2 linked regions of the Caenorhabditis elegans genome follow. The protein of the gene in region 1 purifies or fractionates together with the protein of each later gene. This does not show direct contact. Each region holds a gene or a part of one and is shown on either strand. Other genes may lie near its edges.

Region 1 (4,818 bases):
CTTTTACTTGACACACAGAAAAATTCTACGAAAAAATACAAAAAGAAGTTCTAATTCACAAGTTTAGCGTCTTTTCCACAAAATTGAACGTCTTTGATCTTTTTCCCATTCACCAACATAGAAATATCCATCACTTTTTGCGAGTTTTCATCGAAAAATACAAGTTGAACATCCAAAGAGCCATCTTCGAGATGTTGTTTCACGTAGATCTGGAACATTTTCACAAGATAGGCAGTAGGCAGGCACGCCTAGACCTACCTTCATTGGCAATTTGCTCACAGTTCCATCGTCATTATTAATCAAATAATGATTATCCAACACAAGAGCACCACCTGATGGATTCTTAGCCTTTTTGAACGTCTGAAACAGTAAATTTGTAGATTTTGTCTAGATTTGCAGCTTACAGAAGTGGTCAACTCCGAAATTGTAGTGGCCTCCGACTTGGTGAACATCGAAGAAGAAGTCGTCTTTTTCGGATTCGACACCGACGTCGAAGTAGTCGACTCGACGACACCCTTATCCTAAAAAAGTAATTTCGGTGGCCGTGGAAAAGAGAAAACTAGGCCACCAAGAGAACCTACCGAACTCTCATAAGACAGCGATGGAACATCGAAATCAATCGATTCGGCGTGTCCGAGCTGTTTGTTGAAGATAATACGTGGCTTTGACGAGTTTTTCAGCGTCTCATCCATACAAGTTTCCTCACATGAAATGAGCTTGAGGTTCTTTTCCGATGAGCGGGGCTTCTTGTCAACAGGCTTCGGGATTTGCATCTGGAAATTTGTTTTTTTTTTAAGTTTTATTTTAAATAAAACTACTTTTTTCGTAAAAAATGTTTTTGTTCACGATTCCGTGATTATTTTCATTCCGTGATTATTTTCACTCGGGAATCGCTCGCCCACTATGGGGGAGTCTACGCAAGGACAACGTAAGGACAAGGACAACATTCTAATGGAATGGAAACAATTGCCCGATTGCACCAATTCTAGTTCAAGCGAACAATGATAACTCTTGTATTCTGTATTCCTTCACGTCTCCCAGCGAGCGTAATAAATTATTATAATTATTATTATTATTTTCCACAAATTCGGTCTCGAAACGAACAAAAAACATTATATTGTAGATTGCGTAGAAGTGTATGCGCCTTCAAGAAATACAGTACCCCACTTCTCTTACTTTTTTGCAATTTTTTTCCAATTTTCCGCTATTTAAATAATTTTCGTTTTCTTCGATTTTATATAATTTTTCGTTTTCTTCGATGCTTTCTTCGATTTTTATCGACTTTTTAACGAAAGACATTCAAAAATCGATCGATTTGTGCCTTTAAGAAGTACAATACCGCAGCCTGGTCTCGGCGCAATCGAGAAACTCAAAAATAGGAGGCATGCGCCTTTAAAGAGTACTGTACTTCAATCATCTCGTTTTTCGCGATTTTCGTCCGATTTTTCTCGTTTAATAAAGAAAATCCATGAAAAATGAGAAAAAAAGCGGAGAAATTACAGTACCGCCCCAGAAATCGCTGCGAGACCCGAGTTTTTCAGTTTTCAAACCTTTAACTGCTGAACCTCTTCCATTCGTCTAGCTTCTCTAATCATCTTCTCGTTGTCCATCATTCGATTGACGTGTTTGCCACGTTGCAACAGTTCCCGAATCGCTTTATCCAAATTGTCCATCGTTTTGACTGTACAATCACAATTCACACATTCCATCGCTTGCTTCGAATTTTGAAACTGAAGGAATAATTGATTTCCTTTTTTTTCATTCAACTTTAGAATTTTAAAAATTAGGCTGCAATGCTAGAGCAACACGTTAACTAAATGCCTTAGTAAATTTTCAATTTATGAAAAAGAGTGAAGAAGAGTTAAGGAATTAAGCACATTTGTAAAAAATAATGAGAATGGTTGCAGTGGTGTTGCAAAATGTCCAAAAAAGTGATACACAACATGTACATAAAATTGGAGGGAAATTTCACAACTTTTGAATGGGGATGATGAACATCCCACAGTGAAAGCTACCAAAGAAATAAAACTGGGAGCGAATGGGTTGGGGAAATTGACTACAATTGTGATGAAAAAGACGAGAGAGATTAGTTGAATATGGAGGGGAGGGGATTCAAATAAATAATATCTACAGAATTTTCAAAAAAAAAAGGTTTGATTTAATATATTTTGCGGTGTGAATTGTAAATTTTCGAGTAGATTGAGTCGTGGATTGTGCCTAGTTTAGCGTTGAGCTTTCGAGTGATCGATGAGCCATTGGAGGGTGATATCTGGAAAACAATTCAGTTTAGAATGGTTCAAAGATTTAAAAAATTACCAATATTCTCCTTCTCTTTGCATGAAATAGAATAGCAGCAAATCTCGCGATTCTGGATTGATGACAGATTCATTCTTTCGATCAATTGCCGCTCATCAAGTGCTCCAGGCAAATCCTTCTTGTTTCCGAGCACCAAAACTGGAATAGCGTCGAGCTGTGGCTTGTCCAACAGCTGCATAAGCTCATTTCTGGATGCTTCGAGCTTCTCCTCGTCGGCAGCGTCCACCATGAAGACGATGGCGTTGACACCGCGGCAATATCGTTCCCACATCGAGCGGAACCGTGGCTGGCCCCCGATATCCCATAATTTGATCGTCACGTTGCCTTTGGTGATCTTCCGCATATTGAATCCGACTGTTGGGATCATATCTTCTGTGAATTGGCCGCTCTAAAGTGAAGAACATTGAATTTAAATTTATTTTCCAGAAAAACTAACAGCAATAACATTGACAAATGTCGTTTTTCCAGAGTTTTGGAGCCCAACAAGTGTCAACTCCATCTCCTCTTTCCAAAAAAGACTGCGAATCCAGTCGAGAACCTTATTCACCATAGCCAACATCTTGAATATTGATGTTGAATGAGGAAATTCCTGAAAAGTGCAATTCGATTGAAAAGGGTGTGTGTGTGAGAGAGCACAAAGAAAAACAGAAGGGTTTAACGGAAAACCGCTATTAATTTTGGAGCAAGCTCGCTTTTGCTGTTGAAAAAAAAACAAGTAGAAATATTGATTTTCCTTATCGCAAAATTTATTTTGCAGTAACTTTCACGAAATCAAAACCAATGAATCATCGAGAATAGTCAACAAAACACGTGATGTCTATAAAATTTTGAGAGAAACGTTTCAAAACAATAGAATTGCTAAAAGCAGATAGTTTCATTGGATAATATCGGATTGCAATAAGAGTTTTCAGTGAATATAGTCTTAATTTTTACAAATTTCTCAAGCGGACACAGTTTTTTGCTCAGTTTGCTCGATTTTCTAAAATCTGAATTTACGTTTGTCTAACCCATTCTCAATGAATGTATGGAATTTTTGAAAAAACTAATGAATAATCAGTCTATTTCCTTGAAAATTCTCAAAAAATCGATAGAAAATCCCGAAAATCCGTCGAAAATTACGAAATCCAAAGCCAAATCAGTGCGACAAGGAGCCAATCGAACGACCGCTGACATCAAAGGCGCACGCAGTTTCGAGGACGGGTTTCGCCGCGATCGAGTGTGTCGATTTACGCAGCACGCGGCACACCGGCGACCATCCTTCACCGTTTTTCAGCTTTTCAGCGTTGAATGCACGCTTCGGAAGCCGTTCAACAACAACTAAAGGACGACTGGGATAATCGCGAGTTTGAGCAGGTTAGTAGACGGAAAAAAATGATGGAAATCGATTGAAATGTGAATGAAAATTGATTAAAAATGGTTGTTGAAATTTTTGAATATTTTTAACTGCGGTGTTGAAATAGCTTTTCACTTCAGTAGGTTGTGATTTTATACAATTTTACAACAAATATTCATGTGTGAATTCATATCTCCCACACTAACCCGTACTAACTTTCAGATTATTGCCGATAACATCAAGAACATCGCTAACTTCTTGTCCAGCTTTGGTTTGTAGAAAAATTATTATTTTAAATTAATTCCTTTAAAAAATATCTGATTTCTTCCAGAGCTCTCTTGCCGCACAAAACTAGCGACTCTCAGCGACAAGCTTAACCTTTTGGAACGAAAGGTCGAATTTCTTGAAGCCCGTGTCACCAAAGGAGATACTCTTTCGTAATAATGTCTGCAACTGCCGGAAGAGTCGTCCGTGCCGGACAACACGCCGTTCGCACCGTCGCTCCAATCAAATCCAACAATTCCGCCGAGGCACGCATGTCGGTTCTCGCCGCTTATAAGGAGTTCCAACGTCTCACTCCAAAGTTCTGGTGGGATTTCGGACTTCATGATATGCCGCTCGGCGTGTTCCGTGCTGTCATCAAGAAGCAATTCACAAAGAACGGACATCTCACCGATGTTCGTGTCGTTGACAGACTTGTCGGAGAAACTCATCAGGTTTTTGAATAAAATTTAAATTTTCTAAACTCTAATTGTCACTTTCAGCACATGAAATCGATCCGTTACGCATTCTACAACCCGGATCACGTGCGCAACTACCTGTTCGCTGAAAATGTCGAAGCCAAGCCAAAGGACTTCCTCTCCAAATTCCTCAACGGAAAGGAATAGATTTTTTATTTTTCAGTGTTTTATGTGTAATTGTAAAGTAAATTCTCGTATTTTAAATCGAATCGGCTGATACTAGAAGGAATAAAATCTGATTTTTTGACTTAAAAATTGATTTGGCAGGTTCTACGACCTAATTTTATTTCTTTTTCGATTTTTTTTGTTTATTTTGATTGAATTTTATTTTTCCTGGTAGATGATCCCTTCACGAAGTGCCAGAATCATCGCAAAGCTACAACGACTACACTCGACTACTTCAGCCGCTTCAGTATCTTCTATTGATGT
Region 2 (3,600 bases), on another chromosome or scaffold:
TTTTGTTTTAGATATTACAGTAACAATTATGAACATGTAATTGTCTGAGTTTCCTTATTTTATGCGCGGTAAAAAGTTGATTGATAAGCCGATATATTCCAAACTTCTGAATATGATTAATTACACGATTTTCAGCATTGTGGCACGTTTTAAAATTATTTTGAATTATTTTAGAGATTATCTGCGGCGCCAAATTCTAAAATAAGTAGCATACAATTTTCTTTTTTTTGCTATTTTCTCAAAGATTTCTAAATAGTTTACGACAATTTAGTTAATATTTAAACTTCTTGAAAAGTTGAATTGTACGCAATAGGAAAAATGCAACAGTTCTTTTTTCACAGTCTTTTGAAAATTTTCAAAATAAATTATTTGTCACTTTCACGGAAGATAAATACAGCGGACACTGCCAGCAATTGCTTGTTTCTCACGGTTCTCAAAAAAGGATTACAACTTGCTTGGTGCACCACCAGCAAGTGTATACTTTTACTTGTTTCAGGGGAATCTTAGTTGCTAAATGAGAAATAGTACTTTTCTTGTACTACTATTGAAAATAGTAAAACGCGTAGAGTAGGATATTATGAGCAGCTTGCAAGGTGTGTTTCTTATTCAAAACGAAATATATAATGAAGGCTACTTGCTTCGACAAACATATGCGAGAAATACACCAGGACAAGTGGGGAGTCGCCGGAAAATGTTTGTGAAGAAATGCCCGCCAAAATTAAAAATGGTACAATGGAGTAGGCAAGTGGTGCCAGCCAGTAATCAGGGAGGGCGCCCGTGTGTGTGTGTGTGGCCCCACTGATTTGTGATTGGTGTCAGAGAGTTAGAGAAGAAGAGTCACACACACATTTCGATGGCTATGTATGGCCTTGCAAGTTGAAACGATAGATACACTGTTGGCGAACAGAGCAAACATACTTTTTTCTGTGGCAACATCTGACTGAATATCTTCCCCTTGCACACTTTCACAGTGTGTTATTCAAGAGAGTTTAGTGGTGGTTTTTGTTGCGAATGGTTTAAAAAATTAGATGTATCGCGTTTCTCTTCTAAAAAGTGGTATATCCCTAATGGGAAATACAAGGCGGTGTGGTAAAAAAACCGAAAAATCTATGGTGATACAATGCTTAAATATCATGAGAACATTTCTTTATTTGGAAAATGTTTATTTCGAGCCAAAAAGTGGTGAAAACGGAGTTTACAAATGTTAGGATCCTTTCAAACTAACTAATGCAATTAATTTTTAGGGCAACGCTATCCGGATGGAAGAAAAGATCGGAACGTGAACGATTTCTTGAAGGACTCAGTTGGCTAGCCAAAAATATTGCCCAACTTCGATCCGACTGCGGAATTCCTACTCCAATGGCTGATAAGACACTTTCAGTATTAGCGGACTGGATACGTTCAGTGGTTGAAGGGTGGGTATATAATCAGAAAGAGAAAGAGAGAGAGAGAGAGAGAGAGAGAGAGAGAGAGAGAGAGAGAGAGAGAGAGAGAGAGAGAGAGAGAGAGAGAGAGAGAGAGAGAGAGAGAGAAACATATATCTGACGCTCTAGCCTTTGGAGCGCAAGCCTTATTTATATAGACTCTAAAACCAATAAAAATGCATAATTTATGCACAAGAATGTTGACGAACAAAATTTTCCCTTTTTTACAGGAAATATGTGTGCATTTATGATCGGCCTATCAACAATACAAGTAGTCCTTCAAGCCTTCTCGTCAACTTCCAACCACCACAAGATGCTTTACCTACAGACCTACCGGTACCATGATGATATCCATGTTGACTTACTGCACACATTTCATGTTGCATTGTTTGGGTTTATTTATTTTCAGTGTTTGAAAAAAAAACGAATTTATTTTTTGTATTGTTTTTATTTGTTTTTTATTTGTGTTCCACTAGGTTTAATACCTAGTTTCAAGTATTTGTATTTATATTTTGAAACTCTATCACATCTACTACAACAAGTTCTCAGAACCAATGGACGAAACACACGAGAATGAGGCGTCCGATTCCTTTGATCCAGTGTTCGAAAATTCCTACCATGATGACGTCACATTCAACACAGAAGACGACGATGAGCCACCATTAGAGCCTCGATTCAAATATGAGCGTCTGAAAGGAGAGGAAACACTTCCATTTATGAAAACGGCAACTTTCACGTCAATCGATCTGCACGATAAATTTATTGCAATTGGTACGGCTACTGGTCTCATTTACATTCTCGATCATCATGGGTATGGGAATTTTGATAGCGTACCGGTAAGTTAAGTACGGCCAGTGGGGAAATTATTTGAATCCATTTCTATTATGCTGAAAATGACTAACTAGGGAATGACCAGAATAAATGGAGCGATATTCAAAAAAAAAATATTGTATCGGAAAGCTGACATTCTCTACTATAAGAATATGACTGAAATTTTTGCCCGTTCGGGCTGGAAATCTGAAATTTTTACGTCTGAAATTCTACACTGAAATCAGTGCATTTCCTATGGTTAACAGTGGATTTTTGTCTCTGGCGCCAACAGAAGTCTCACCACAATGGTGGAAGGGCGAAAACATCGGTTCGGTGGTCGAGTGGTGAACGCGTTCGCCTCTTGAGCAGAAGTTTGTGGGTTCGGTTCCCATACATGGTTTAACTTTTGGCCTTTTTTATACAAAATTTTCAGAACGGGAAACAAGTATTTAGAACTTTTTTTTGAGGGTTTTACATAATTTTTTTGCTTTTTAATTGAACCATAATTACCCTGGAAACTTTTCAGAAATTTTAATTTTTTTCGAAAATTGTCACTTTTTTCTCCACCCATGAGAAAATTTGATCGAAAAATTTTTTTTTGAAATTTTTTTAAAAATGCATGAAATATTTTAGAGTGTCACAAATAACCTATTTTTCATTATTTTCAATGACCGAATCATTGATTCTGATGCCTTATCAAGACGTTTTACCAAATCGATATTGGCAAAACATCTTGTTTTTGAGGCTCCATATCTCTGCAGGAAAAAATCGCACTAAAAAGTGATTAACTGAAAACTTGTTAAACACAATGTAATCTAAAACTTTTCAGTTGAACACTTTTTTGTAAAAAATTTCGTTGCCGAGTTGGAACCAATTGATTTGAGCTTCATTATTTTTGAATATTCTAAATAGTTAAAGATCTATATCTTGGCAACGAAATTTTTTACAAAAAAGTGTTCAACTGAAAAGTTTTAGATTACATTGTGTTTAACAAGTTTTCAGTTAATCACTTTTTAGTGCGATTTTTTCCTGCAGAGATATGGAGCCTCAAAAACAAGATGTTTTGCCAATATCGATTTGGTAAAACGTCTTGATAAGGCATCAGAATCAATGATTCGGTCATTGAAAATAATGAAAAATAGGTTATTTGTGACACTCTAAAATATTTCATGCATTTTTAAAAAAATTTCAAAAAAAAATTTTTCGATCAAATTTTCTCATGGGTGGAGAAAAAAGTGACAATTTTCGAAAAAAATTAAATTTCTGAAAAGTTTCCAGGGTAATTATGGTTCAATTAAAAAGCAAAAAAATTATGTAAAACCCTCAAAAAAATGTTCTAAATACTTGTTTCCCGTTCTGAAAATTT

Evidence for each region. The genes of interacting proteins can lie anywhere in the genome.
Region 2: the proteins of arl-8 (region 1) and vps-41 purify together in Caenorhabditis elegans (affinity purification with western blotting, with the first as the bait; one study listed by BioGRID). This does not show direct contact.

Annotation. Positions count from the first base shown.
Region 1 is NC_003282.8:14,796,236-14,801,053, reverse strand, and holds arl-8 (ADP-ribosylation factor-like protein 8B), read right to left. Parts: upstream 2,906-4,818; 5' UTR 2,876-2,905; coding exon 2,753-2,875; intron 2,705-2,752; coding exon 2,317-2,704; intron 2,270-2,316; coding exon 2,223-2,269; 3' UTR 1,827-2,222; downstream 1-1,826. Other genes in the region: Y57G11C.14 (uncharacterized protein), read right to left, coding at 51-209, 259-360, 405-521, 582-773, 1,551-1,709; Y57G11C.1147 (Protein BRICK1), read left to right, coding at 3,604-3,669, 3,872-3,920, 3,981-4,090; nuo-3 (NADH dehydrogenase [ubiquinone] 1 alpha subcomplex subunit 6), read left to right, coding at 4,093-4,365, 4,414-4,536; coq-3 (Ubiquinone biosynthesis O-methyltransferase, mitochondrial), read left to right, coding at 4,730-4,818.
Region 2 is NC_003284.9:5,281,858-5,285,457, forward strand, and holds the start of vps-41 (Vacuolar protein sorting-associated protein 41 homolog), read left to right. Parts: upstream 1-1,978; coding exon 1,979-2,260; intron 2,261-2,561; exon of another isoform or gene 2,562-2,636; intron 2,637-3,600. Other genes in the region: Y34B4A.2 (UV radiation resistance-associated gene protein-like), read left to right, coding at 1,245-1,415, 1,655-1,769. UniProt on the Caenorhabditis elegans protein: Plays a role in vesicle-mediated protein trafficking to lysosomal compartments including the endocytic membrane transport pathways.